3 linked regions of the Canis lupus familiaris genome follow. The protein of the gene in region 3 interacts with the protein of the main gene of each other region in a pairwise test. Links are inferred from orthologs where the notes say so. Each region holds a gene or a part of one and is shown on either strand. Other genes may lie near its edges. The genes, in order: TRIM37, ZNF639 and PNKP.

Evidence for each region.
Region 1: the proteins of PNKP (region 3) and TRIM37 interact in binary tests that used the Homo sapiens proteins (3 or more experiments, as listed by UniProt). The two-hybrid records come from large-scale screens. The link is inferred for Canis lupus familiaris from reciprocal best matches to the Homo sapiens genes PNKP and TRIM37.
Region 2: the proteins of PNKP (region 3) and ZNF639 interact in binary tests that used the Homo sapiens proteins (3 or more experiments, as listed by UniProt). The two-hybrid records come from large-scale screens. The link is inferred for Canis lupus familiaris from reciprocal best matches to the Homo sapiens genes PNKP and ZNF639.

Annotation. Positions count from the first base shown.
Region 1 is NC_049230.1:33,631,367-33,640,590, forward strand, and holds part of TRIM37 (E3 ubiquitin-protein ligase TRIM37), read right to left. Parts: intron 9,096-9,224; coding exon 8,979-9,095; intron 4,796-8,978; coding exon 4,708-4,795; intron 3,038-4,707; coding exon 2,915-3,037; intron 1,293-2,914; coding exon 1,169-1,292; intron 196-1,168; coding exon 128-195; intron 1-127. UniProt on the Homo sapiens protein: E3 ubiquitin-protein ligase required to prevent centriole reduplication. Probably acts by ubiquitinating positive regulators of centriole reduplication.
Region 2 is NC_049255.1:12,932,714-12,942,725, reverse strand, and holds the start of ZNF639 (zinc finger protein 639), read right to left. Parts: upstream 4,944-10,012; 5' UTR 4,864-4,943; intron 4,300-4,863; exon of another isoform or gene 4,249-4,299; intron 4,086-4,248; exon of another isoform or gene 3,725-4,085; intron 1,555-3,724; 5' UTR 1,483-1,554; intron 850-1,482; 5' UTR 839-849; coding exon 781-838; intron 1-780. UniProt on the Homo sapiens protein: Binds DNA and may function as a transcriptional repressor.
Region 3 is NC_049222.1:107,366,987-107,376,821, reverse strand, and holds the start of PNKP (bifunctional polynucleotide phosphatase/kinase), read right to left. Parts: upstream 5,222-9,835; 5' UTR 5,077-5,221; exon of another isoform or gene 5,062-5,076; intron 4,799-5,061; 5' UTR 4,786-4,798; coding exon 4,635-4,785; intron 4,011-4,634; coding exon 3,964-4,010; intron 3,592-3,963; coding exon 3,292-3,591; intron 2,621-3,291; coding exon 2,541-2,620; intron 2,462-2,540; coding exon 2,404-2,461; intron 2,310-2,403; coding exon 2,202-2,309; intron 1,893-2,201; coding exon 1,821-1,892; intron 801-1,820; coding exon 752-800; intron 674-751; coding exon 603-673; intron 519-602; coding exon 426-518; intron 352-425; coding exon 255-351; intron 169-254; coding exon 107-168; intron 1-106. Other genes in the region: AKT1S1 (proline-rich AKT1 substrate 1), read right to left, coding at 6,910-7,053, 8,418-8,587, 8,677-8,754. UniProt on the Homo sapiens protein: Plays a key role in the repair of DNA damage, functioning as part of both the non-homologous end-joining (NHEJ) and base excision repair (BER) pathways.

The sequences.
Region 1 (9,224 bases), on a different chromosome or scaffold from region 3:
TTCATAAAAATGCCTAATATAGAACATAGATCTCCCAATCTTTTGGTCTCACACAATCCTGCCCCTCCCCAAATTTTTTTAAGCCTGTTGATAAACTTTTATTTCATTACATTTATTATTTCATTACCTGGTGCTCTACCTCCTGAAGTAAGGATTCCAAGAGCTCTGTTTCCTGTGTTAGAGATGTCTTCTGACCTATTTAAAAGACAGCAAAACACCAACACTCAGCCTCATTACTGGTTTAAAAATGAAATTAACTTTCACTGAACATAGTCAATAACAAGGAATTGATTTCAAGTAAATAAAAGGTCACTAAAGCTACCCTAAAAAATTTCCCCAGAGCTTTAAAAGGCCTAATCTAATATTGCAGTAGCTTTGACAAGGGGATTTCAGAATCAACCTTAACTACAGTTTTAGACAAATTGCAATTCAGATCTATTAAGTTCATCTAGGAATACACAATGACAATATATTCTCTAAGGAAACTATTACTGCTTTTTCTAAAAGAATACAAACATATATAAAAGAGTACATTTTTTACTCAAATCAACTCTTCTGAAGTACTTCTTTCCCAGAATTTAAATGTGGCTTAAAAAGAAATACAGTAAGTTGGCCAAATGTTACACTACATGTCAACAAATGGTATGTTCTTTAAACATAAGAATCTGTAAAAAAAAAAAAAAAAAAAAGGCAAAGACAAAAACAAAACAAAAAGCCCAAACAGGAATAGTCTCAAGAAACTAGAAACACACAAGAATAAAGAACATAATAATAATTTATTATTACTATAGAGAATTCTGTATTACTAGTAATTCTGTATTACTGTACAGAATTACTATAGAGAAGGAAGAAACTGCTTTAGATGTCGGGAGAAAAAAAAAAAAAAAAAGATGATGACAAGGAAGCCATGGCTGCTGAACCAGGCCATTTTCATTGTAAATCACTAGCCTAAAGAACTAGAAGCATACATATCCATGGGGTTAATGGGAGTTATATTAATTATGTGTAACGTTATTTGATTCAGAGGGACATTTAACAGGTGGAACTTTTACTTTCAAAGGCCATCTTTTCCTAGCCTATAACAACTCACCAACCTTTACCCTTTCAAGATGGAACTTCAAGGAGGCTCAAAGCACCACATATTACAACAGCATAGAAAAACACTCACCCATTAGTGTTATGAGCTTATTCTTTAGCTGTGTGTCTAATCGTGCAATCATCATCTCCACTGCATTCCTAATTTCCCGAACACGCTCATCTTTTGCATTTCTAACAGCTTCTACATTTCGTTCCTAGAAGATAAACAGGTAAAAAAAAAATTGAATTTTTAAAACAGAAGCAAACAGACATAACACAATCACTGCAATTATTCTTAAAGTAAGCTGATTTCCTCTTTAAAAATTGTAATACAATCATACTTTTAAATTGTTTATATATCATAGGCAACTCACTGCTTTAAAAAATCGTGCACTGAAATGAAGCAGGAACAAAATTCTTAAAAGTAAACAAAACAATAAAGTACAGGCTCTTTTAACAGTGAAAGATACGTAATTACAAAATTCTGGTTCAAATACCATATACAAAACAAATACTCAAAGCCCCAATCATATCTGATAAAAAAACCACTATTCAAAAAGAAAAAAGTATACTGATGCCAGGTTCACATCATGTAAAACTAAAACAAATGAAAAATTTCAAACACTGTATGTACTCTAGTTTACAAAGTTTAAAACATTTTTTAGAACAGAGAAAGAAAAAGAAAAAAAAAAAAAACCAGGATTTTCAAAGATTACAGAACACATTGCAGACTCTTAAAGCATACCACTAAAAATAAAAAGTAATCTTTCCTATGCTTATTAGAAATATAAGCAGTGAGAATTTCAAAGTTAGGACATGCTCCCTAAAGATCAAATTAAGTTGCCAAGAGAAAATAACAGTAAAAAAAGAGGAGTTAGATGAAGTCCAAAGAGAAGACATTCAAGTTATTTATATTCCAAGATTACTTTGTAGGTAGCATATACGCAACTCAGAAACTTTTTGTATAAAAAAAAATGTTATAAAATAATGCTTTGAATCTTGATTCCTGAAAGGGTTAAGTAAAGATATCTTAAATCAGAAAAGGCCCCAAACCTCACTAGCTACAACTGGCATTCCAGCAATTCCAAAAGTATATTCAGGGGACGCCTGGGTGGCTCAGTGGCTGAGCATCTGCCTTCGACTCAGGGCATGATCCCCCATCCAGCGATCTAGTCCTGCCTTGGGCTCCATGTAGGGAACCTGCTACGCCCTTTGCCTATGTCTCTGCCTCTCTGTCTCTCATGAATAAATGAATAAAATCTTAAAAGAAAGAAAAAAAAAGTATATTCAGTACTTAAATGTTTGAAACTTGTATCACATTTCCCCATATAAATAATAAGTGGTAAATAACTCAACCAAATCTGTTTGACCTATAAAGTATCTGAAGAGTAGTGTTAAATATCACTCTTGCAATTCTGTAGAGTTCTACTTCAAGACATCAGAAATAGTTCATTCATTGGTAGCAGAAACTCTCCCAAAAGCTGAGGGTCCAAAGAATGACTCAATGACTTTGTAAAAGTCAATACTATTTACAAGTCGATTATGGACTATATCAAACAGGCTTATTTAACTCATTCACAGATTTTCTGTTTCTGCATAAGAAAAGGCAATTTTCTGGTTCCAAATGTGGAACAGGCCAGGGGTTTGGATGCAAATTCCTCAGCTAGTTTGAAGTTGGTGAAACTGACTATAAATATATCTTCTCAAATTTTTAAATCTCGATAATCTCGATTATCGATCGAGATTAATCTCGATTAATTTATTTGTATTGTAAAAATACATATATTACATAAGATAGACTATACAATGGATAATGATCTTTCAGTCGTAGTCTTACCACTTCTTGAACTAAGCTGATCAGTTCCATGAGACGCCGACGAAGTTTAGCCACTTCTTCATTCACTTTAGTAACATGCTGTTCATAAATTTCTGCCAAAGGTTTAAAGGTATGTCCACCATGCTATTTAAATTAAGAATAGTTTTAGAACATTTTTTTTTACCTCAACCACTCATACTTCTTTATTAACACTTCGTGGATACTAAGAAACTAGTAAATATTTTCAAATGAATTTTTTTTTGGCTGTCTACTTTGTTAAAATCCACAAGAGCTTTCTCAAGATCACTTGGCCCATATAGGAAATCCTTAATGATTACAGATAAAGAATTTCAGGAAAACATTTACACTCATCTAGAAATCTGTATTCCTTAGAAAGAACCAAAATCTTTAACCATGGCTCAAACCATCTGACACAACTTTATTTGCCACTCTCTTCTTGGTCAGCACTAACTACCCTTTTTCATGTTTTCAAATTTCTTTTCACTAGGCCTTTGCAAAATTAACTCCTTCTGCTAGGTAGCTCAGTTGTTTGAGTGTCCAACTCTTGATTTCTGCACAGATCATGATCTTGGGGTCACGAGATTGAGCCCCACACTGGGTTCTGTGCTCAGCGTGGGGTCTGCCTGGGATTGTCTCTCCCACTCCCTCTGCCCTTCCCACTTGTGCCCACTCTCTCTAAAATGAATAAAGCCTAAAACAAAAAAAACCACAAAACCTTACTATTAACAGGTAAGTTCTTAGCATTGTCTTGTTTAACAAAAGCACCCAACCATGGTCTCTAAAATAAAAAAGATGTAGATTTTTGTATGTCCACTTAAAATATAGAAAAGAATGTTCCCATTGCTTCTTACTAAATCCACATATTTAATTAAGTACTAAATTGTAAGAATTCAGTTTTTTCTACTCAGAACATTAGTACTCAAATCCTAGCAGAAAACTCTCTAAAATGAGCTCTACTGAACCATGTTGCCTGTCATTCTCTCCCTGAAATATGCTGATACCCAAAAAATGATCAATTCTTTTCTTTTTTTAAGTAGGTTCCAACTCAGTCTGAACTCATGACCTGAGCTAAGATCAGAAATCTGACACTTAACCAACTGAGCCACCCAGGTACCCCAAGAATGATCAATTCTTATTGCTAACAGCTATGTCTAGTTGTCTAGCAACTTCTGCTCCCACTACAACTAACTCTCCCCACCAAAAACCTATTGGGTTTGTTCTCAAGCCTATTTACATGAATTGCACCTAGTACATAGGTATACAATTTAAATATTAATTAAACAGTGAAACTGTGAAACAAAGGCTGTTTACAGGAAAACTGACTTGAGTGTTTTAGACTTGATAAAAGGTACAATGCCTTAAAAACTACTTTTGAATTAAACTGGAAAAAAGAAAAAAAAACCCATAAGATCAAGATGTTTGCGTTCATATTGTTTCACAAATATCTAAAATTGTTTCATTTGAAACTGAATCTGGAAATTGTGGCCAGGACATCAGATCAACTGTCCTTTAATCAGAAATAAGACTTTGATCCTACAATAAAAGATTTACAAATATACATTTTCTATTTTTCCAACTAAAATAATGTATTTATGTAAGCAATGCACATTCCAAATCTATATCTCCCACAAAAGAAGTTTATGGTGTATGTGATACCTTCTGCTACAAATCAGATGCATTTAAATTTCAATCTATAAGCAGAGTAAAATAATATTTTCTATCTAAATCTAACAAGTATTTTGGTGCTTTCCAGTCTCTAGCTAAAAGTAATATGCTAAATTTTTTCTGCTCACCATTCCTCCCCAAAGTGCACACTGATGGCAGATACACTTCTTACAAGTCCAGCAAAATACACTAAGCTTTTCATGGTGATTTTCACATCTATATATTATGAAAAGAAAATATAGCTTAAATTAATTAAAATTATATGATAATTACTGAATAAATTCCTAAGTTTAGAAAACAAGTTAATTTTAAACAGATTATAACTCAGGAAACAATATAAAATGCATTCCATGCTTCTATAAGCTAAAAAAAATCATATGTGAACACAAAATCTTTTAAACTATTGTTTTCATTAATTTATAAAGACTCTATACAATTGTGACAAATGCAGATTAATTTTTTTTATTTTTTAAAATATTTATTCATGACAGATACAGAGAGAGAGAGAGAGAGAGAGAGAGAGGCAGAGACACAGGCAGAGGGAGAAGCAGGTTCCATGCAGGGAGGCCAACGTGGGACTCGATCCCAGGTCTCCAGGATCACACCTCGGGCCAAAGGCGGTGCTAAACCGCTGGGCCACTGGGGCTGCCCAGATTAATTTCTAAATAAAGTGTAAATATAGCATCATTTCCTAGCATCACTGTAAGTTCTATCTTATAAACAAATCACGAGTCCATACCTACATGAACACATATACATATAAAAATATTTGTCCCACATGTGGCCAATGCTAACAATCAAGACACACACATAATATCATACTCTCATGAGAAATGAGCACTTCAATTTTAAAAAATGAATTTCCCCTTAAAATGGATATCCACGTGTAAAACATTAATTTGGACCTGGTTATAAACTGAATTGCATCCTCCCCAAATTCCTATGTTGAAGCCCAATATAAATGTACTTGGAGATAGGGTCTTTAAGGAGGTAAAGAAGGTTAAATGAGGTCCTAAAGGTGGAATCCTAACCGAACAAAACTGGTATCAGTCCGAGAAGAGGAAGATACCAGAAGTTTCACACACAGAGAAGAGGCCCTGTGAAGACACAGCAAGGAGGAACCCCACCATGTCAAAGAAAAAGGCCTCACCAGAAACCAAGTCGTTAATACCTTGACCTTAAACTTCCAAGCCCAATATTATGAGAAAATAAATGTATTATGTAAGCCACCCAGTCTGTGATATTGTTATGGCAGCCCTAGCAGACAAAAACCATTAGCTTTTAACATGCAAAATTTAACTTAAAATAGATAAAAGATCTAAAACTATGTAGCTCTTAGAAGAAAACATAGAGGAAAAGCTTTATGATACTGAATTTCAAAATTACTTCTTACTGACACCAAAAGCACCTGCAAGAGAGACAAAAATAAATAAAATGAACTACATCAAAATTTAAAACTGAGGGTGCCTGGGTGGCACGGTCAGTTAAGCATCCAACTCTTGGTTTCAGCTCAGTTTGTGATCTCATTGTCATGAGATCCAGCACAATGCTGGAGTGTGAAGTCTGTATAAGAGTGAGTCTGTCTGTCTGTCTCATCTGCCTCCCCTCACTTGTGCACTCTCTCTAAAATACAGATCTTTTTTACAAAATTAAAACTTCTGAGGGGATCCCTGGGTGGCTCAGCGGTTTAGCGCCTGCCTTTGGCCCAGGGCATGATCCTGGAGTCCTGGGATCGAGTCCTGCATCAGGCTCCCTGCATGGAGCCTGCTTCCCCTTCTGCCTGTGTCTCTGCCTTTCTGTGTGTCTCTCATGAATAAATAAATAAAATCTTAAAAAAAAATTAAAACTTCTGTACATCAAAGGACACAATAAACAGATTGGAAGGGCAATCTATGGAATAAGACTGTATTTGCAAAAAAAAAAAAAAAGACTATTTGCAAAGCATGTATCGATAAAGAGTTAATATCCAAAATAAAGAACTCTTACAACTCAACAAAAGAAAAAAAAAAACTTGATTAAAATACAGGCAAATTGGGATGCCTGGATGGCTCAGTGGTTGAGCGTGGACTTCAGCTCAGGGCGCGATCCCAGTCTGGGGATAGAGTCTTGCATTGGGCTCCCTGCGAGGAACCTACTTCTCCCTCTATGTCTCTGCTTATCTGTGTCTCTCATGAATAAGTAAATAAAATCTTTTAAAAATATATATGGGCAAATGACTTAACATTTTTCCCCAAAGATGTGCATATAATCAATAAGCATTACAAAGAGATGTTCAACATCCTAATCATCAGATAAATGTAAATCAAAACCACAAGATATTTCCTCATACTCATTAGGATGGCTACCTAGGGCAAAGATGGAGAAATTGGAATCCTGTACACTGTTGGTGGGAATGTAACATGATGCAGTTGCCATGGAAAACAGTATGGAAGTTCTTCAAAATATTAAAAACAGAATTCCATATAATTCAGCAATATCACTGCTGGTTGTATTTCCAAAAAAATGGATGCCTGGCTGGCTTAACCAATAGAGCAGAGCGTACAAGTCTTGATCTTGAGCCCCATGTTGTGGTGTAGAGATCACTTAAAAATCTTAAAAAGAAAAAATTGAAGGCAAGGTCTAGAAAAGATGAATACCTATGGTCACAGTAGCATTATTTACAATAGCCCAAAAGTGGAAGCAATCCAAATGTCCATGAATAGATGAACAGATAAACAAAATGTGATACACATACACAATGGAATATTAATTATCCTTTAAAAGGAATAAAATTCTAATATAAACTACATTATGCAAAATCAAGGAATAGTAGCAAAAAGACAAACACTGTACGATTTCACTTGTATGAGTAATCTAGAGCAGTCAAACTTCTAGAAGAAGCAGGAAATAAAATGGTGGCTGCCAAGGTTGGTAGAAGGAGAAATGGGTAATTATTTTTTTTTTTTAATTTTTATTTATTTATGATAGTCACAGAGAGAGAGAGAGAGGCAGAGACACAGGCAGAGGGAGAAGCAGGCTCCATGCACCGGGAGCCCGACGTGGGATTCGATCCCGGGTCTTCAGGATCGCGCCCTGGGCCAAAGGCAGGCGCCAAACCGCTGCGCCACCCAGGGATCCCGAGAAATGGGTAATTATTGTTTAATGGGTAGAGAGTTTCAGATTTGCAAGATGAAAAAGTTCTGGAGATTGGTATACAATATGAATATATTTAACACTACTAAAGTGTATCCTTACAAATGGTTAAGAAGTAAATTTTATATAAAGCGTATTTTACTATAGTTAAAAATTTTTTAAGTTTTTGGTTGCCTATTAAAGAGACACACTGTTGCATTTCTTTAAAAAATATATATTTGATTTACTTACTCATGAGAGACACAGAGAGAGACAGAGACACAAGCAAAGGGTGAAGCAGGCTCCCTAGGGAGCCTGATGTGGGACTTGATCCCGGGATCACGCCCTGAGCCAAAGGCAGACACTAAACCACTGAGCCACGCAGGCTTCCCCATAGTTGCATTTCCTAAAAAGCTTTTCACTAGGGGCACCTCTGGCTCAGTTGGTTGAGCATCTGACTCTTGATTTTGGCTCAGGTCATGATCTCAGGGGTGAGAGATTGAGCCCCATGTCAGGCTCCACACTTATCAGGGAGTCTGCTTCTCTGTTTTTCCCTCTCCCTCTGCTGTTCCTCCTGCATGCTCCCTCTATCCCAAATAAATAAATCATAAAACAAAAGCTTCTCACTAATAAAGTACCCTGAACTTAAATGCATCAATAGGTCTACATTTTATATTTTTCATTTGCAAGTAATCTGAATACCAAATGGAAATAAAAGTGTAAAAAAATCAGCATGTTAGATACTATCTGGAAGCTCAATTAGCATGATTCCACACTACCAAATTTAGAACACCCCTTTTATAATATAGGAAATTTATCGGAACAATTCTTTATCAATGGCATATATGCACCTTCAGCAAACCAAGGAAAAAGGGACCAAGAGGTAACAAGACAAAGAGAGGGACGCCTGGGTGGCTCAGCAGTTGAGCTTCTACTAGGATCAAGTCCCACATCGGGCTCCCTACTGGGAGCCTGCTTCTCCCTCTGCCTATGTCCCTGCCTATGTCTCTTATGAATAATAAAATTCTTAAAAAAAAAAAAAAAAAAAAAAAAAGAGCAAAGAGAGATTAGCAAACATTAGCAGTTTCACTCCTTTTATGAGAGGCTCTCATAAAAGCAGCCAATCAAGAATTAGAAGCGTCTTTCAAAACAGTGATACCCATACCATGCCAGAAGAAAAATACTTAAATGTTCATCTATAAACTGAAAAAGAAACTTTCAATAGTATCATTAAAGTAACATATGGCAATATCTATGAAATATTTGAACAAAAAAACTGAGGGCATACTTGTCCTTTTCATTTTCTTCATGTTTGGTGAGACTGCAGAGTTGAAGAGTATCAAGTTGCTGTGTTACTTCTTCTGCCCAACGACAGTTCACTAGTTCTCTTAGCTGGAGTGGAGCACTGGAGAAAAAATATGTATATATATTCTAATTCAGAAATTTAAGACTATTTTTTAACATAAACATATTCCAAAGGTAATCATGTGAGATGATGAATGTGTTAATTAACTCAATGGAATCTTTTCACAAT
Region 2 (10,012 bases), on a different chromosome or scaffold from region 3:
CTCTTTTTTTTTCACTAACATATACTTTATTTTCTTTTTAAAAAATTTATTTAAAATCAATTAACATATAGTATATTATTAGTTTCAGAGGAAGAATTCAGTGATTCATCAGTCTTATATAACACCCAGTATTCATTACATCATGTGCCCTCCTTAATGTATATCACCCAAGTTACCCCATCCCCGCCCCTCCTCCCCTCCAACAACCCTGTTTGTTTCCTGTGATTGAGTCTCTTAAATCTCTGATTTCGTCTTATTTTTCCCTCTCTTCCCCTATACTCCTGTTTTGTTTCTTAAATTCCACATATGAGTGAAGTCAAAGACCTTTCTTACTGCCAAGATAGCAGGGCCAACCTCAACCAGAGGACCCAAAGGAACACAATAAAAATAAAGTTCATATTTCTGAAAATAATGTACAGGATAAAAAAAAAAATTTCCCCAATAATCCAAATATCTTCCATCAAGGTTAATGCTGTACATTAAGAACAAGCTTGGAATTACACAAATCCCAATTATGCTGTGTAAGTGTGGAACTTTGGATATCTGTTTTTAAGTATCTTTCAACCATTAAGTTTTAAGTATTAAATAATGTCTGTAAAGTTCTGATGTGTACCTAGCACATGGTAGACAGATGAATATACATTCAGAGAACTTGAAGTTTTCTCTTACCTAAAAATTGACCCAGATATTTAACTGTTATCTGATCATTTATGAGAAAATTGATAAAAATGCAATTGCATGGGAATTAATCCAGGGTCCAGCTTTAAAATAATCACTGACCTGAGTAACGAGAAGGGTGTAATGTCTTCCTTTTTCTTTTTTTAGGATATTCATTCATATCTTTTCAATCTAAAAATGGAAAAATTTAACAAAAATACCACAAATGAATATTGTTAATATTTTATAGAAATTCATCCTAAACAAAGAATTTATTGGTAATAAGAAATGTGTGTGCCACTTGAAAATCTACTTTGTAAGAGAAATGCCTCCATTTATATTTTAGGTTTATTTTTTCTGATCAAGTTTAAAGGCAGGACACCAAAATCTGTTTTTTTTCTTGGTGACGTTGAGAAGTCCACTTCAGATGTTGATGTAATTGTGAGAACTGGATAATTACACTAAGCTATACTCTTATTTTTTATTTTAAAAAATTGCTGCTATGGCATCTTTTTAAGAATAAAACAAGTATATTTCTTATAAATGGGAGTATTTTGATGCAGTTTTCAAGCTAAAAGTGTATATATTTCCTTAAAAAATATTGTCACAAATCTGTATCTATCCCCAGGCTTCCAGAAAATATATTCATCACGTAGAAGCTCAGAATATAATTTCCAAGAAAAAAAATACTTTTCTTACTTGTAAGGTCATATTCAACATTCTATTTAGGACAAAGCAGGTAACAACTTTTGTTTAATTTTTAAATGATTAGATTCCCATGGACTCTTATAAAATTGACTAATTGGTTTTCCACATTCCACTTACATGGTATAATTCTTAATACTGTAGGGAGGAGAAATGAATTACAAGGAAGTTTTCACAGATGGTAAAAAATGCCTGTAGAAAAAAAAACACAACAGAAGTCATACAAGCAAAAATGTAGCTCACTTCTGAGACTCAAAAATACAATGGCACCAGGTCTTTAATTAACTGGAAAGTTACACGGAATTAACTCAAGTATAAATAATCTTTTGAATATACCGTATTAAGCACTAAAAACTGATAACTATGTGAGTGTATACATGTGTCATTGTTCTTTGAAATGAATTTACTTTGTAAAGCTTAAGCTATAATTTAACAGCAAAATAGGAATATAAATCTGATTCATTTATTCAGCCATAATGAAAGCAAATACAATGAAAGTGAACCAAATCAGACTTTATACTCAGTCCTTATAGGTTATTTAACAATATAAGAACAATGACCATTTATTTAACACCTATCATGTGCCAGGCTGTGCACATACTTTATCTTATTTAATCCTATAACATGAAAAATATACAATATCCTCTCAAAATTATTTACCTTTTACAGATGAGAAAACTGAGGCATAGTAAAATTAAGTCAAGGCAATTCTTAATAAGTGGTAGGGTTAGAACTGAATAAAGATCTATTTTTAAAGCATATACTTTGGAAACAAATAGGGAGATAAAGAGATTACTCCAATTCAAGTAACAACTTAGTGTCAGAATCAACATCTCCTCTTCCATTTCAGGCTAGTGTTCTTTCACAGAAGTGGGCAAGTAAGGGATGTCAGAAAAAGAAACATGTTTTCTCCACTAGCATTATATGCTGCTTTTCTTACTGTCAAAGTAATATACATGGCAGGTATAACTTGGTATCATTACTGAGCTCATCTTGTTTTTAATGGTAAGGAACTTCAGGTGCACACACTGTTTTTGCTACTTCACTAAGTTCTGGCTATATTAATTAGCACTATAGGTGATGTGATCATGCAGTAATAAGATAGTGCTTTTTAGTTTATTGGGCATTTTCCTCTTATTTTATTTGATCTTCACAACAATCCTGTGAGGTACATTGAGGGGCTACTATCAAACTCACTCCAATTTCACAGATGAGGAAGCAGATTCAGTGAAAGTCCAGTCAACTAAGCGGCAGAACAGAACTGAAAAAGCCTGTCTTCTGACTCGAGTTTCGAACAACTCTGTGTAATTTTCATTGCTAATCACTATTACCAGCAAGTTACATCTTCCAGTTCTTATTCCACCACCAATTGGGAGAAAGGGAAGGGAATCACCCAAAGAAACCAACAACAGTGGATTTATAGAAATAGTCTCTCTCTATATAAAGGCTCACCTGAACACAAATAGCATTCCTTAAACCCTTCCCAATCAAGTGCATTAAGAAAATAAAAATTTTCTTATTATATAATAAACTAAAACTTCAAGACTTATTCCTAATACCTCTTCTGCACACCTCTAGAATTTATACAGCCCAGAGCGCTACACTTCATGTTTTAAATGTTCTAAAACTATCAGGGAGAACAATGAAAACTGTCAGCCAAACATTAAAGTAACCTCTTGCTATTTCAGAATACACTTTAAATTCTTTCCAACTTGAAGAATGAAAAAGTAAGGAAAGGAAAGCAAGTATAGCATTAGAATTAACATTGCAAGCTGGCCTGGATTCAGACTGTCGGATGAGAGGAACAGGACAGGATCACCTTGATCAGGGAAGCTCTGACTACGACGTGAGGCCGAACAATATCCAAATATTTATCAGACTTCCTTTTAGCATGAATGCTAATATGCCTACTCAAGACCAGAAATACTATCCTTCATTTCAGCACATATTCTTACGTGCTTTTTGTATACATAACTGCCCTGATGAAGAAGTTTGGCTTTTTACTAAAAGATGTCATATGAACATTTTGCTCACTGGTCTTCCTCTCATGGGGAAGATTCTGAATCTCATGGACCTAATCATTCACTTCCTTTTCCCCACTTAATGAATTACACATAGAAGTCCTCGCTTTGGCAGCACATATAATAAATTACACATAGAATACATGTCACTGCAGGAAAATGAGGAGAGAGGTTAGAAAGTAATTCAATCACCTCGAATCTATTCACGCAGAAAAACCACTGCTAACATTTTGATAGACATTTAGACAGTTTCCTATGCCAAGGTATCCATATATATTTCACATTTACAAAAATGACACCATGCCACATGCAGTACTACTTTTTTTCAAAAAGCAACTTACAAAATACATATTGGCATCTCTCCACCTGTCATTTTTTTCCCCCCAACAACGTGCAAAATGCCACAAAACAGGCAGTCAGTATCTTCACCAAAGAGATCAACAGCCTTTCACGTAATACAAATATTCTCTAAGTGGTACAAAAATAAACCAAGTATTTACAATCAAAAGCTTCATCTTTCCAATAAGGTTTTCAAAGCAAGTTCTTTTTCACCCTCATTTCAAGATAAGTATATGCTCTCCAGAGTTTAAAATAACAGAAACATGGGCAGCCCGGGTGGCTCAGCGGTTTAGCGCCGCCTTCGGCCCAGGGCGTGACCCTGGAGACCCCGGGTTGAGTCCCACGCCGGGCTCCCCGCATGGAGCCTGCCTCTCTCCTCTCTCTCCAATCTGTGTATTCTCATGCATAAATAAATAAAATCTTTAAAAAAATAACAAACGCAAAAACGTTTCAGGAGAGGTCTTGAACCAGAGCCCACGGTACGTCCGACTCCAGTGTCAGCATTGCCAAAGGACACGTTTTTTACCTCTCTGCAATGAGATGAACTGCTTCAAACTACTCGCGTCCCTAGGTTGTACTGAAAAAAAAAAAAAAAAAAAAAAAAAAAAAGGAAAGAAACCAGAAGGGGCGTCTGAGCACCGCGAGGAGGGCCCAGGGCTCCGGCCGGGCCAGCCGGGCACCCGCGGTCCCGAGCCCAGGCGCCGCGGGCCGCCGAGGGGCGTCCGTGCAGGAGCCGCCGGCCACGCGCCGGGCCCACGGGCCGCCTAGGCGACCCCAAAGCAGCCAGCAGGAGGGCGGCGGGCGGAGGCCCGAGGCGTCCTCCGCGTGCGCGCGCGTGCGGGGAGCGGGTCGCGGCTGCCTCGGCCCGCGGGGCGCCGCCATCCCGCCCGAAAGCCGAGGCAGGGTCTCATTTTAAAGGACGCCGTCGGGCCTGCGCCGGCCTCTCCCGCGGGAGGCTGCGCCGCACGCTCCCTGCGACCGCGGGGCCCGCCCGACCCGCCCAGCCGCGGCGGCGCCCGGGCGTGGGCGGAGGGGCCGCCGGCCCTCGCGCTCCCGGGCGCTCCCGGGCGGCCCCCGTCCCTCCGCGCGCCTCTCGCCCTGCCCGCCAGGCCCCAGGCCCAGGCTCGCCGGCCGCACTCACCGCCTCGCTCCGCGCCTGCGCCGCGCACCTCAGGGGCCCGCCGACTGCGCGGGGAGGGGCCGGGGGCGGGGGGCCGGGGCGCGGCGGCGCGGCCACGCTGCACAGCGGACCTGGGAGGGACCACCGGCGGGAGCCCCGGGGGTGGCTCGGCGGCCTGCGCCCCCTGCCGGCACCTGTGCGCCGCCGCGGGCTTCTTCCGGGCGGGGTCCCGTCCCTCCGGAGCCCGGCGGGTGACTCCACTTCCTAGAACCGCTCCGGGCGAGGCCGCGGACGGAACTCGCCCCCGCCCCCGCCCCCGCCCCCGCCCCGCCGCCCGAGGAGCGGGATAGCGCTGCAGCTCGCGGCCCCTTTCCCACCCGGCTGCTCCTCCAGGGGGCGCGCGACAGTGGCCTTGCACGGGGAGGCCCGGCCGAGGGCAGCTCCGCCCGCAGAGTGGCAGCCGCCTGCCGGGCACGGAAAGGCGACGGCGGGTTCAGGGTTTTCCCCGAGGCCCCACCAAAGAACGACGCTGGGCTGCGAGCGCCGTGCCCAAGGGCAGGAGGCTGGAAAGCTTGAGGATCGCGAGTCATTATTAGGGCTTCCTTGGTTCCACGAATCCCGGTGGAATGAATGTGAACTTATAGGGGATTCGGTTAGATGATTTCGTTCCTTTTCGGATTTTTGAGCTCCTATGAGCAGAGGTGGAGAGGATTAAATTGAACAAGCATACGGGAACCTGTGAACACGGTTTCAGAAATGAAGATGCCTGTCGAAGTGTGGTCATATGTTTGATCTCTGATAGTGAATTGAAGTTGTCAGTCCCAGTTAACACATTAGAAAAGCGAGGGTCTAAAGACTAGATCTTTTTTTTTTTTTTTAAGATTTTATTTATTTATCCACAAGAGACACAGAGAAAGAGAGAGGCAGAGACACAGGCAGAGGAAGAAGCAGGCTCCATGCGGGGAGCCCGACGTGGGACTCGATCCTGGGACTCCAGGATCACGCCCTGGGCTGAAGGCGGCGCTAAACCGACTAGGTCTTATTCATCTTTGTACCCTCAGCGCCCGGGTTCAAATAATTGTTAAGTAGATGAAGGAGGCCCATGCGGGTTATCACGTGCTCAAGGTCACTTTGAGAGTAGGGGCTGCAATCGATGTCTTTTCATCCACATCCGCGGTGGCTTTTCTGATCACCGCATGCTACCCAACCAACCACACCCTGGAGAGCAATAATCACAGACCTTACTCCCATACCTTCACCTCTAGCCCAGAAGGTAAAGCCACATTTTAAAGAGACACCAATTTGCGATGCTCAGTCTTTATGACCTCAACTTCTGCGTGTGTACTCAGCCCGAAGAAGTGAATATTCACGAATGCTGGCATGGCCTGGATGAAGTACAAGAGATTTAGTGGCATTTTAAAATTCTAGTATAGTTAGTACCTGCCACCGAGTAGGGAATGGACACGTGTTTGTTGAATTTATGAAGAACGCTATGCATGCTTAGCTGGTTGGGCTGTTCCCCGATGTGACACAGTGGAAGCCACAAGGGGGTGGTATGGGATCATTTTGAGTTACTGTGTTGCTCATCCGTAGCCTCCTGCCAAAATCTTTACATTCTAGGCTGAAGTTTTATTTAAAAACATTCTGCTGTAAGAGCAAACACGCCCCCTCCCCCAGCCCAGCACATTACTTGAATTAACAAACCAACCCACCCTATCTTCCCTTCCCAGAGAAATAAATGAGAAGAGCATCACAATGCTTACTTGTCCTTTAGCATAATCACAGGTCAGAGGCTATTTTGATTAGCTGGAGTACATTTCCCAGTTTCATTTTTGCATCCGTCTCTTCCTTTCCTTCCTTTTAAGGGACGGTGGTGGCTGCACGGATGAAACCCTAAAATCTCAAAAGAGAGTACGGAGTTGTAGAGTTTGCTATCTTCTAATATAATTTTGGCCAAAGGGGTATTGAATCATTTTTTAAAGAAAGATTGTATTTATTTATTTGAGAGGGAGAGAAAGAGTGCAAGAGCAGGAGGAAGGAGAAGCAGACTCCCCGAGGAGCAGCGAGTCCCCACCTGGGGCAGAATCCAGGATGCTGGGATCATGACCTGAGCCAAAGGCGGACGCTCAAACAACTGAGCCACCCAGGTGCCCCTTGAATCATCATTTTCTCCAACTTTTTTTTTTAAAGCCACACTTATAGTGTAGCTTAATTTTTAAAAAGATTTTATTTATTTATTCATGACAGACACAGAGAGAGGCAGAGACATAGGCAGAGGGAGAAGCAGGTTCCCTGCAGGGAGCGGGATGTGGGACTGGATCCCTGAGCAGAAGGCAGACGCTCAACCACTGAGCCACCCAGGCATCCCTAGTTTAATTTTTTCTTAGAATAGGGATACGTCTTTATCACATAATGGAGACAATATCAAAGTACAAATAGCAAAAGAAAAAGTTATAATCCTACAACCCAGAGCTAACCAATGGTAGCATTTTGCCCAAGAGCTGCACATTATTATTATTATTATTTTTTTTTATGATAGTCACACAGAGAGAGAGAGAGAGAGAGAGAGGCAGAGACACAGGAGGAGGGAGAAGCAGGCTCCATGCACCGGGAACCCGACGTGGGATTCGATCCCAGGTCTCCAGGATCGCGCCCTGGGCCAAAGGCAGGCGCTAAACCGCTGCGCCACCCAGGGATCCCTATTTTTTTTTAAATCTATATCCATTCATTCAGAATTTGTTTTAAAAATTAAAAAAAAAAACAGCCCCTTATTATCGCCTGAATATATTTTATGCTATTAATGTTAATGGCACCTTGGAATTCCACTATAAGCAACCATACAGTTGTTTCTATCTTTAAACCATGGTCTGCTAATTTGGTAAATAAAATATAGTATTCTATTTTAATTTGTATTTGTTTTTGTGAACTTGAATGTTTTCTCATGTGTTTATTGGTCGTTTGTATTTCCCTTGAGAATTTTCAGGGAATGTCCTTTGTTTTTTCTACAGGCTGTTAATCTTTTTAAGGAAAGCTAAAATTTTTAGCTTTTTACCTGAGATAAATGTTCCATATATTTCTTTCTAGTTTGTTTACTTTTCAATTTTGTTAATGATATGTTTTGAATTGTGAAATCGAGTCTATTAATCTTTTCCTTTACAGAGTCTATTATTCACCTTATGCTGAAATAATCTTTTCTTCTAACCCAATATATGGTTGAATTTTTTACTTTAACTTTTTAGCTTATTTGTAATTTATTTTGAGGTGTGAGAAAGAGAACCCATTCTCTTTCTGTCATAATCCTTTTCCCCCCTCATTTCTATCTTGTATAACAGCCTGAAATTAAATTTGTAAGGACAGCTTCATCTGCTGCTCAATTAACTTCCTAAGGCATTGGTTTTCAAATTTAACTGCATTAGAATCACCAGCAGTTCTCTATCTGTGCACCGGTCCCAGTTTCTAATTGGATAAATCTGGGCTGGAGTTGAAAAATGCTGATGTTGTTGCCCCAGGATCACACTTCGAGAGTCACTATCCTAAGGCTTTCCCTGCCCAACCCTACATTAGCCAAATAGCACTTCTTACTATTCCATAGATAGGCTCTATTCTCACCTGTGTGTTTCATTCAGCATGTTTATTCCACCTGTAATTTATTTACCTTGCTTCTGTCTGTAAGATCAAGCTCTTGATCTTATCAAGATCTCTTGATAAGAGATTTATCTCTTATTTATTTGTCTCTTCTGTGAAATCTTTGATTTTTCCTGGCAGAGATCTCTGATCACTCTTTAGAGACTCCACAGTATTTTTGGTACATTGGTCTACCTATCATCAGACATGAATTTACTGTGAATGAAACAAAGTATAGGCTTCAAGTCCCCTCAATTGCATGAACCTTTTCTAAGATGAGGTATTTATAATCTGATATTCTTGTATAATTTTGTATTTAAATAAAATTTTGTATTTATAATTTAGTATTCTTTTTCTTACAATTTAATTCTCCCAATTCGCATAAGCTTCTGTCCTCACAAAAATTGGCTTCATTCTGTTTATCATATTGTTTTTCCACAGACCTTGAATTCCAGTCTGCTCCACCTCTCTGCTTAGCAGTGTCTTATATAGACCACCTTCTTTCTTTCTTCCTTTCTTTCTTCCTTTCTTTCTTTCTTTCTTTCTTTCTTTCTTTCTTTCTTTCTTTCTTTCTTTTTTCTTTCTTTCTTTCTAAAAATATTTTATTTATTTATTCATGAGAGACTCAGAGAGAGGCAGAGACATAGATCGAGGGAGAAGCAGGCTCCCTACAAGGAGCCTGATGTGGGACTCAATACCAGATCCTGGGATCATGCCCTGGGCCAAAGGCAGAGGCTTAACGTCTGAGCCACCCAGGCGTCCCATCATTCATTTTTAAAATAAAATATTCACTACAGGAGCGCCTAGGTGGCGCAGTCAGTTAAGTGACTGACTCTTGGTTTTGACTCAGGTTGTAGATCTCAGGTTCATAAGATTGAGCCCCAGATGGGGTTCTGAGCTCAGAGTGGAGTCTGCTTGAGACTCTCCGTGTCTCTCTTCCCGCTTGCCTCCCCCCTCAAAACAAAAACAAAAACAAAAAACAAAACTGTGTATGAATTGGGTGGGGAACAAAAAAATAAAATAAAATATTCACTGCATATGTACCTTGGGTCCAGAACTATACTAGGTAACTGGGAACACAATGTGATCAAAATAGATCTAGCCCTTGCCTTGCTGCTCCTTTTAGTAGAGTAGGGAAAATAGGCAATTAAACAGCACTTGCATGTGATAACTAAACTTATATAAAATAAGTAAAGAGTGTTACGGGAGCATATGACAAATGGCCTCACTTGGTCTAAGGAGGATGGAGCAAGTAAAGAGTATAGGTATTCAACTTGTTGAATGAATTGGTAAACTCTGTCCTGGCCACCTAGCTTGCTAACACTAGTGTGGACCTGACTGAGCAGCATACTCCTGACTCAGACATGAGGCAGCTGCATGCCATAGCTTTGAGTCAGGGACCTCACGTCCCCAACAGAGATACCTGGACTCCATAATTATGAGCCACTCAGACAGTAGAGATCCTCCAAGCAGCCACAGGGCTTTCAACGCCAGCAAGTCCAGATCCAGAGAGCTAGTCAGCCCACTCAAACACTGATTGAGTTTT
Region 3 (9,835 bases):
CAGACACCTAGGGAGAACCTAGGTGGGGTAGGGAATGGGCACAGAAGATGGAAGGATCAGGGACTCTGCGCTCAGCCTGGGCACATTGGGGGGGGGCCTGTCTCACCCTGTTCACGTGCACGTATCCTGCTGACACAAGATGCTCTTGGAGGAAGGTGGACTTGCCAGCTGTGAGGCAGGGGCAAGGTCAGTGGGGGCCCAAGGACCCAGAGCTGGACTGGGGCTTCTGAGGTCAAGGGGTCAAGGTGTCTCACCCCCAGGAAATCCCACGGCGACAACCACTTCAGGGTCGTGGCTCAAGAGGGAGCTGGACTCCGGGAGGCAAAGCGGCCCCGAGGGGGAGACGGTTCTCTGGGAGGGGTGGTAGTGATGAGCAAGACCCTCTCCTCCTCTCCCGACTCCCACTCCCACCCCGAAGGCCTCACCGGGTCAAAGGTGGGGAGCACGAAGTTGGCAACGGGCCACTTGAGAAAGAACTCCTCTGGTGTGGCGAAGGGCAGGCCAAGGTTGAGAGCAAACTGGCGGGGAGGGGACGACAGGGGACACAGACATCAGATAAGGTGGGGACACAGCTCCAGGCCAGCAGGGGAAAGGAGCCTCACCAGACGGTCTGCACAAGAGAAGTCTTTCTTCTTTCGGCCAGGGGCCCAGTTGGCTGGTCGTCCAGCTGCATCTGGGACAGAAGACAGCTCCATGTCCACCAGCGGCCCAGCCGAGGGGATCCACACACTCCCCATCCCTGGGTCCTTACCTCCCACGAACATGCTGTCCCCGATGGAGACAGGCACACCTTCGTTGCCCTAGGGAGGGACAGGTGACAACAGGCAGTAAGGAACCCACCCACTCCCATGCCTGCTCCCCTAGAATACTAATGGGGGTTGCGAGGATGCTGAGCTGGGCCTGACGTCTGGCCTCTCCTGCCCCAGTTCAGCATCATATCCTGGTGGCACGTCTGGCCTCTCCTGCCCCAGTTCAGCATCATATCCTGGTGGCGCTGCCACTGCTGGGCCACTTCCTACCCCCCTTCACTGTTCCATCCCCATTGCGTCTGTTCCCTACACAGCCACCAGGGGGGTGTCAGTTCCCACTTCTGTAGATTCCTCTCCTCCCAGCCCTCCTGGGCCCCATCCCTTTGCCCCCTGGCTGGGTAAAAGGGAAGACCTTACCTTACCCACAAGGCCTCACGATCTGACACCTGCCCGATCTCTGACCCTACGCCCCACCCTTACCCCATCATCCATTCAGGTCCTGCTACCCAGGCCTCTTCACTGTCCCTGAACACACTAGTCATAGCCCTGCCTCGGGACCTTTACATGTGCTTTACACATGCTGTTACTCCCACCTGGAAGCTCTTCCTAGGTTCCCCTGCGAGGCTCCCTCCCTCACTAGCTTCATAATTACAAGGGCACCTTGGAGAGGCCTACCTAACCCCTGTAGGTAAACCCTGCCTCACCTCACTTCACTCCCACCATTTCACACCCAGTCTGTGCACCTCTAGTCTGCACCCTCGCTGGTATGTGAGCCCCAGCAGGTCTGTCTCATACGCTAACAAATTCAGCTCAAGAAGCTGTTGAGCTTCAGAACAAAGGCACACACAAGAGAATACATGGACAACTGATGTGTCCCTGGACCATCCTGATCTTCAGAGTTGAAGAGTGCTGTCCGCCTGTACCTAGACTGGGACTGGTGGAAAAGGAGGCAAGGACCAGGGAATGAGATGAGAAGAGGAGAGAGGAGGTGGCCAAACAGCAGAGACCTGTGGCAGGGGGAGGCTGGGCTGAGTGAGGGAAGAAGGGAGCTACTGGGAGGCCACCACTCACCTGTTCCCGCAGATGGTCCCACATGCCGATCACTGGCTTCCGGTACAAGCCGGCGTGTGTGGCCACCAGCACCTGTGGGTGAAGGTCAGACACCCTCCTGGGCTCCTTCCCCAAATCCTTCGAGGGTGCATGGGTGCCAGGGATGCTACCCCTTCACCAACCCAGAGGACTCCAGATGCCCAAGAACCCATTTATGATGGGTTTCTACCAGCATAACCCTGCCGGGGGGCCTCCACTGCCTTCTGGTACGTATGCCTTCTCCCTGGGTCTCTGTTCCCTCCTCTCTGTCACGGTCTGACACCGTGACACTAACTCTGTCCCTGCCTCTGTCTGGGTCCCTGTCCCCCAACCTCTATGACTCAAGCTCCCTTGCAGCCATACCTGAAAGGGGAGGCCCAGTTTCTCCACCACAGCCTCCACTTTAGCCTTGAACTCCTCTGCCGGCAGCTTCCCGCGCCCAATGGCCATCTGGTTGGTGAAGATCACCAGCTGGGGGGGGGAAGCATGGATGTCACCTGGTGCCCTTCTCAGTGGGGCCCCAGCCTCCCTGTGGCCTGGTCTCCATGCACAAAAGCACACATACCTTGTAGCCTTCGGCATCCAGCTCCCGGAGCTTACGTGGAATCTCCAGGTATAAGATCCTAGGGTGGGTGGGAAAGCAGGTAGGTGACCTGGGGCCCACGGGGGCCTCACTCACCCCCTTGGTCTGCCTCTTATCACCTCCAGTCGGTGGGGCCGGTGGGAAAGACTTTCCCAGAGCGTGTGGTGATGAGGGTCCCGTCCAAATCAAAGCCAGCCACCTGATGTCAGCAAGAAAAGAGGAACAGCGACCCTGTTATGCCTCTGATCTCGACTCACAGGCTACATCACGTCACCTCTGCAACGTAGAGACATTACCACTTGCCCGTCACTAAATGGGAAACTGAGTCACAGCCTACACATCTTACGTTTAGGGGAAGGCACAGGAAGAATGTGTCCCTACCACCTGAGTGCAGAGCCCGAGATCTTCACTGTACCATCTCCTATTTCTCCTATGCCCCTGGGTATGCCAGCCTTTAAAATGGGGTTCACGTCATACTCACCCACCTCCCCTGGCCTTCACTTCAGGCTAATAACAGTGAAAATGAATACAGGAGTGAAGTTGGGTGCAAACCACATGTAGAGGACTGAGCCATGCGCTTTTCTGGGTTTATTACTTTACAGGGGACTGGGGGGCGGGGGGGATGGGGGGGAACTGTGAGGTCAGGTCTCTGGGTCCCTGTGAAAATGATGGTGTTCACTACTGTGCTTTCTGGGGCTCAAGCAGGAGCTGACATACATCGATGCCCCCAGGGCTTACAACACCCTCTGAACTTGTCATCAGATCCACTTCTCAAAAAAGTGGCAGCTAAGAGAGGTTGAATGGCCCAGGGGCACACAGCACACATCATTCAGCCCCAACTCCGTGTGGCTCCCTCAGCTTGGCTCTCACCTTGCTCCGAGGCTTCACCCCCGGTGCTGTAAATACTAGCAGCTTCTCGAAATTCTCCCAGCCCGGGGATGACTTCCGCATGCGTTTTTTCTGTGGCTCAACAGCCTCTGCCTCATGGGGAGCCACGGGAGGGGTGCCGGGTGGAGTGTCTTGCTGGGATACAGGCGTGCGGGCCTCTTCCCAGCGCAGGGTTAGCGGGTGGAGGCCGTTGACCAAGTACAGCGTGTCCCCCACCCTCAGAGAACCTTCTGATCCCGGACTCAGCTCCTGGGTCCCAGCAGTTGAGGGGTTAATTCCCAGCTGCAGAGAGAGACAGAGAGAGACAGAGAGAGAAAAGGAGGAGGAGGAGGAGGAGGAGCCGGGATTGGCTCCGGCCCCCAACCGGAACCTCCACGAATTAGAGGAAGGACAGCCTTCCCCCACCTGCCAATCAGACCCTTAAGCCCCGCCTCCTCACTGCGTACCACCAATCAGGGACGTGGAAGAGTTACTGTGGTCCAGCCTTAACCCAATTCAAACGTGGATGGATACGCGTTGAAAATGGCAATACCCCGAACCTTCTCTGCTGGCCACGTCCCCTTCCCTCAAACCGGGTTTTTCCAATGAGCCTGTTCCCTGCTGGGCTGCCATTCCTCCCCCAGGCCTCGCTGCGCCTTGCTGAGCAACTGGTACCTGTTTCACTGCCACGGTCCTGGTCCTGGGGTTTGCGACCAGCTCCACTGAGGGTTGAGAGGGTGGAGTGAGAATGTGCATCCTTGTGCGACGGCCTTCCTCACTACTGGGGAGCTTGGCCAGCTTCAGGCCACAGGATGGGGACATTCAGGCCATTCGGGACGGGAAAGCACTTTATTTCTAAATGGGGTCGGCTCTCTCTTTACATGCAGTAGTCAGAGAGAGGCCTCAGAATAGCCTGTGACGCCGGTCCTCGCCCAGCGGCAGGAGGCATTCTTCTGTACAGAACTGATTTCTCCTTGATGAGGCGTGTGACTGGGTGCAGGTCCTGGGCTACGCTCGTTACCACCTCGCCCTGCTTAGCAACCGCTACTTCTCACCGTAGCATCGGCTCTCTCCTTGGCAAGGGTCATGACCTGACTTAAGCCTTCCTGTGAGCATCGTCCTCTGACAACTGTCTCCCCACTAAGGGGTCTGGCTAGTTCCAGACCAGGCACAGCAGTTCTCTTCTTATGCTCCCCCGAGGGCACCTAACTGCAGGACGAGCTACACCACGCAATCTCGCCTGGCGGCCAAGCAGCTCCCTTACTGCACCGGCTGCCCACCATTCCCGCAGAGCACGTTCACGCTCCAGAGCGAGCCACAATCCCTACAGCTACGGCCCCGCCCACCTTGGTTTCTGGAGCACTTCCGGTCGGTAACCTGGGTCAAGGGTCCCCGGCCCAGGACAAGGGCTTGCCCGTCCGAGGGCAGGAAGATGGGGGGGGCTCCCCCGGGGGGGCTCTCCAGCCACAGGCGGCCCTGGGTCTCCACCTCGGCCATCCCAGGAGCCAGCCTAAGGGGAAGTAAACAGGTTTGAGTGGCAGAACGCCCTCAAACTGCTACAGCAAGTCCCGCCTCCCCCCGCCCCTCCACCAGGACTCTCCCTTCTTCCGCTTAGGGCTCCGGAAATCCCACCCCCTCGCCGGCCTCTGGCTCGCGCCGTTTCCCGGGCGACGACGCCCCGCTCAGTCCCGCGGAGAGTCCCGACCGGGACATTCCAGGGCAAAAGCCAAGAACCTCGCGCCCGCCCCCAGCTCGGCCCCGCAATCACCGTACCGGACCGGGACTCACTTCCCACTTGCGACCAGGGAACTCCTGCCCGAGGCGCTCTGCCCACAACTCGCCGGCGGCTTTCTCTGTTCCTCGGCGGACGGAAATGACTCGCCTACGGAAGGGGGCAGGGCGCAGGGCTTTGGCTCCGCCCACGACGGAAGCCCCGCCCCTTCTCAGACCACCTGCTCCTTCGGGCCCTCGGCGGCTCTGACCTTCCTCTCTCCTCCAGCAGTGGGAGGCTCCGACCAGTAGGGGGTGTGGGTCCTCTTTCACAGATTTTCCTCTTTCCACCTGGAACTCTTTTAACATTTCATTCCCTTAGTTACAGCGGGACACACTTCTTTTTCATTTGAAGATCATCAGTCCAAGAAATGTCCACCCCTGACAGCAGCCCTGACCTTCAATACTGCAATTTTCTCATCTTTAAAGTGAGAATAATCGTTTCCCCTTCATGGGGTTACTAGGAAGAGTTACTAGATGGAACTAGTCTTATAAAAGTGGTTGATTGGCAGTTCTGTTTAAGTCTTGTCTATTGCTAGCATGTCCCAGGTGGTGGTCTGATGGGAGAGGAAGATTCCAGGTTTACTTGGCCCAGCCAGACTTCGGACCAGGTGCCATTTGTTCTCTAACTTTCAGCTGTCTTATATTAGGCAGAAAACTTCTGGCCTCAGTTGGTCGCTTCTGGCTGTCGAGACTGAGTGGATTCCAAACACTGATGCTTTGAAGACCACATTCCAACACTCATCCCCCCCAAAGATCGGGGATCAGTGGTCACACAGAACTGGAATCTCCCCCTACAACCCCATGAATCTCTTATCTGCAAAATGGGAACAGTAATTCCAACTCCCAACTTTACACTGAAAGTCAACTAGGTGCTGCTCATTCGGCTTCAAAGTGTTGAATGAACACACTCTATACTCATTTGTCAGAGGTAAAACTCTTTTAATCTCAGACCACCGCTCCCAACTCCCGATCCCCACCCACGACTCTCTTCCCCACACAAGGGCCGGAGAGCGAGGGCCCCTGCCCCCCACCTCGGGTGGACAAGGGCCCTTTAAGGCACCTGTGGGGGTGGAGGGAGAGGGGCGGGAGCTGGTGCCGTCCTGACTGCAAGGACGGACTACGATTGGCAGGCTGTTGTGGGATGGAACCGAAGAGGGTGTCAGACGCAGGGACAGGATTGGGCCATCCCTGGGAGAGGGTAGAGGGGCACATAGTCAGGACTCGGTCAAAAGCGACCCCAGTCCCAGTAGTGTAAAGAACGTAAATTTAAGGCCGCAGGCCAATCCTGGGGTTAGGAGGGTTTGGCCACGCCCCCAGAGGGCTGGAGCCTATCAGGTGGGACAAACTAGGAAGGGTGGGCTGGCGACTCCGGGAGATTGGTCAAGCCCTTTGCGTTCAAGCCAATCAAATGAAGTTGCCTACTCTCTAGGCTGTAGTGGCTTACCACTCCCCAATCCTGTGGCTTGGCTGTTCTTTTTCAACCAATGCCGCGCGAGCGAAGCTCTGGTCACTGGGCGAAAACGACAGTTGACCCTTATGAGGGCTTAAAACTAGCCACGCCCCGGTCCGGGAGCGAGCCAATCCCTTAATCGAAAGAATCTGTCGCTGGGCAAAAAAAATGCAGCGACAGACCCAATCCGGAAACTAGATAGGTCCCGCTCCTCGGCGCGAGAGGGGGTCGTGGGCTGGAAGGACGGCGGGAATTGGCGGGGAAGGGGCAATCCTGGGACCCCGGGAACCTGAGAAGCCGGTCCCGGGTCTGACTCGGATTGGCCGGGCCCAGGGGCGGGGCAGGGGTGTAGTGTGGGGCGGGGCGGACGCTGGGCCTGGAAGCGCTCTCCCTGGGCCTCAGTATTTCCGCTTCAGCTTCTGGAAGTCGCTGGTGTTGAGCCGCGGCCGCGGCAGGTCCCCGAAGACCTGGGTGTCCTCGGCCTCCCGCAGCACCAGCGCGCGCATGCTCGCCGCGATGCGGTCCAGGTCCGGCGAAGAGGGCTGCGAGACCGGGGCGGGGTCAGCGCCCGCCGCGGCCCCGCCCCAGCACTTTTTGCCTACTGCCAGGAAGGCCCTTTACCCTATCTTGCTCCTTGTAGGATCCTTCTAACCAACCCAAATACCACCTCCTCCAAGAAGCCTTCCTGGCCCTCTCTTCCTTCCCTTCTTGGCCTAACTCTACGTGCAAGAACAGCTAACCGTCCCACTATCCTTCAGTTCCTTCTTACACAGTGGAAGTGCTGTTTCTCTGCTATCAAGGCTAGATACCAGGGGGTGTCATGTCTAAGGATGTGGGTTGGGCTTGGCATTGAGTCATGTAACAATCCAGCCTCTGCCAATGACTAGCTGTCAACAAGCATTTCATCTCCTGAGGCTTCAGTCTCCCCTTTAAAACGCGCAGCTGATGACAGCGCCTGAGACAATCAGCACAGTGAGTGCTCAAGAAGTGTGAGCTACCACGTTGCCAGCGCTATAGGGAAGGGGCCTGGTTTCACGATGGCCTCCACCCAGGAGGGGCCCTGTCATTCTGTCTGCTCCAGCAATTAGGGCAATCTCCCTTTTGGCCCCACACCTTGAGCTGGGCCTAGCCTCCAGGAGAATGGGAGAGGCCACACGGACAGAGGCTGGACCTGAGCCGGTTCAGAGGTCAGACCAGCGCCCCCACCTCTCAGGCCTCAGATGTTGTTAACTGGCAATACAGGCAGACGGCAGATGGATGCTGCCAATGTGTCAAAGAGGACACGGGGGGGGGGGGGGGGGGGGGGGGGCAGGGGCGCGCGGGGGAGAGAGACACACGATGACCATGGGACTCCAGGGCTGCCTCCCTTGCAGTCTGTAACTCCTTTCCAAAAGGAGGCTGGGTTCCAATCCCAGCTCTGCCCTTTCCAAGCTGAGGTCCCGGGAAGTCACAGATACTCCCGGTGCCTCAGGGAAGTTCAGCGCTGGGTGAGGAGGAGCCACCCAGGCCAGGCCAGGAAAGCCACCTGAAGGATTGTGCCAGAGAAAGAGGAGGTAGGGGAGGAGCCAGGAACACGCAGGGTGGGGACAGAAGATGACCTAACCCCTCTGTGCCTCAGTTTCCCCTTCTGAAGGGGATACCAAAACACCTGTGCCTTGCCAGGAGCAGGTATTCTATAAATGAAGCTGTTCCTAAAACCCAGAAGAGGCTTTTCTCCATGGCACTGGGGTACACTGTAAGGCTGCAGTAGTTCAAGCTTTAGGGCTCTGGCCCAAAAATCTGCCTCCTGAGGTGGAGGGCAAGATCAAGCCCAGGAAATGTGGCTTCCATGCCAGAGGGCTTCCTGGAGGAAGTGGCTCTGAGTCCCTCCCTGCACCCTCCTCTTTTTCTCCCTTCTGCCCCTCACCGGCCCATTCTCTTCATCCGATGACCGTGCTTCTGGCCTCTTCTCCTTGAAGGCCCAGACGGGCACGGACACAGGCAGGGACTTGGCATACTGCTGTGTGGGCAGGGCTGAGGCCGGGGGCACGGAGTAGGCGGGGGGGCCAGCAGGGGTCTCCTCGCTCAGGCTGCCATCTGGGAGAGACAATGGCCTTCAGCCTCTGTCCTTGCCTTCATCCCAGCACCCTGGGGGTGGCGGAGTGGGGACAGCCTGGGACACTTACCATCTGTGCTCTCAGGGTCCGACTCACAGAAGGGGGGCAGGTCCTGGAGTGTGGCATCCTCGTCCATTACAAAGAGCCCTATGGATGAGGTTAGTGACTCAGGCCAGTCAGGTCCCCGCTGTACCCCATGTGCCACCACCACCATCTCCCCACTCCTTGCATCGGCCGGTCCCTCAAAAGCCTCAGGGCTTCTGGAATTATTCCCTCTGCCTCAAACACCCTCCCCCTTGGTTATCTGCCTGGTCATCGGCAGAAACAAATCCAGTTTCTGTCTGTTACGCCCTCAGGTGAAAACAACTGGCTGGATAAACATGAAATCTGCAAGATCTGTTTGGGATAAAGGACTCAAAATACAGACGGAGAGAACATGAGCCAACTGTGATCCCTGTTTGACAAAGAGGGACCAGGAGGCACAAGAGAAGTCAAATCACTTGCCCAAAGTTCCAGAGTTAATAATGCTGCTCGTACAGCATATTCAGTCACTAGGATTTGAATGCAGGCCTCCTGGTTCCAGAGTCTGTGCCCTGAATCCTATGCGGGTCTCCCCCAGCAACAATGAAGAAGCAAGCATTAATGGTGACAACACAGGAGTAAGTCCTACTTAGGGCACACACACCCCTCCCGCAAACTCCTAATCACTCTCCAAAGCCCTAATGTTATAGAGTCCAGTCTCTCTGAAGTATCCAACCTCCTGATTCCCCTCAAAACAGCCAGTTGCTTTCCCCGTGGCTCCCTTAAGCTGTGGCCTGCATTCCTGACTCCTCTGTAATTCCTACCTTTCTCACCAGCACTAGGCACCCCAGATTTGAAATAACTCGTTCTGCTCGAGCTCCCAGCTCAGGTTCCGACCCCATGGTCGCCACAGGGCACGGTCTCCTATTGGACTACCAATTCCTTGGCAGGACTGGGAGTCCCTCAAGAAAAGGGCCGAAGCTGGCTCTGTGTCTGTGTCTAGCACCTCCCAGCACAGAGCTGGCTCCCGGTTAACATGTAACCATACAGGCTGGGAGAGGGGAAATGACCTGCTCCAAGTCGCACAGCAGGGCCCAGGTCAAGCCAGCCTGCTCCCCCAAGGCTCTTTGAGCCTGAGGCTGCCACAGAACACCCGGGCACAGAGATAGGCGAGGCCCACCCCTCCGGGATTCTGACCTTGCAGGCC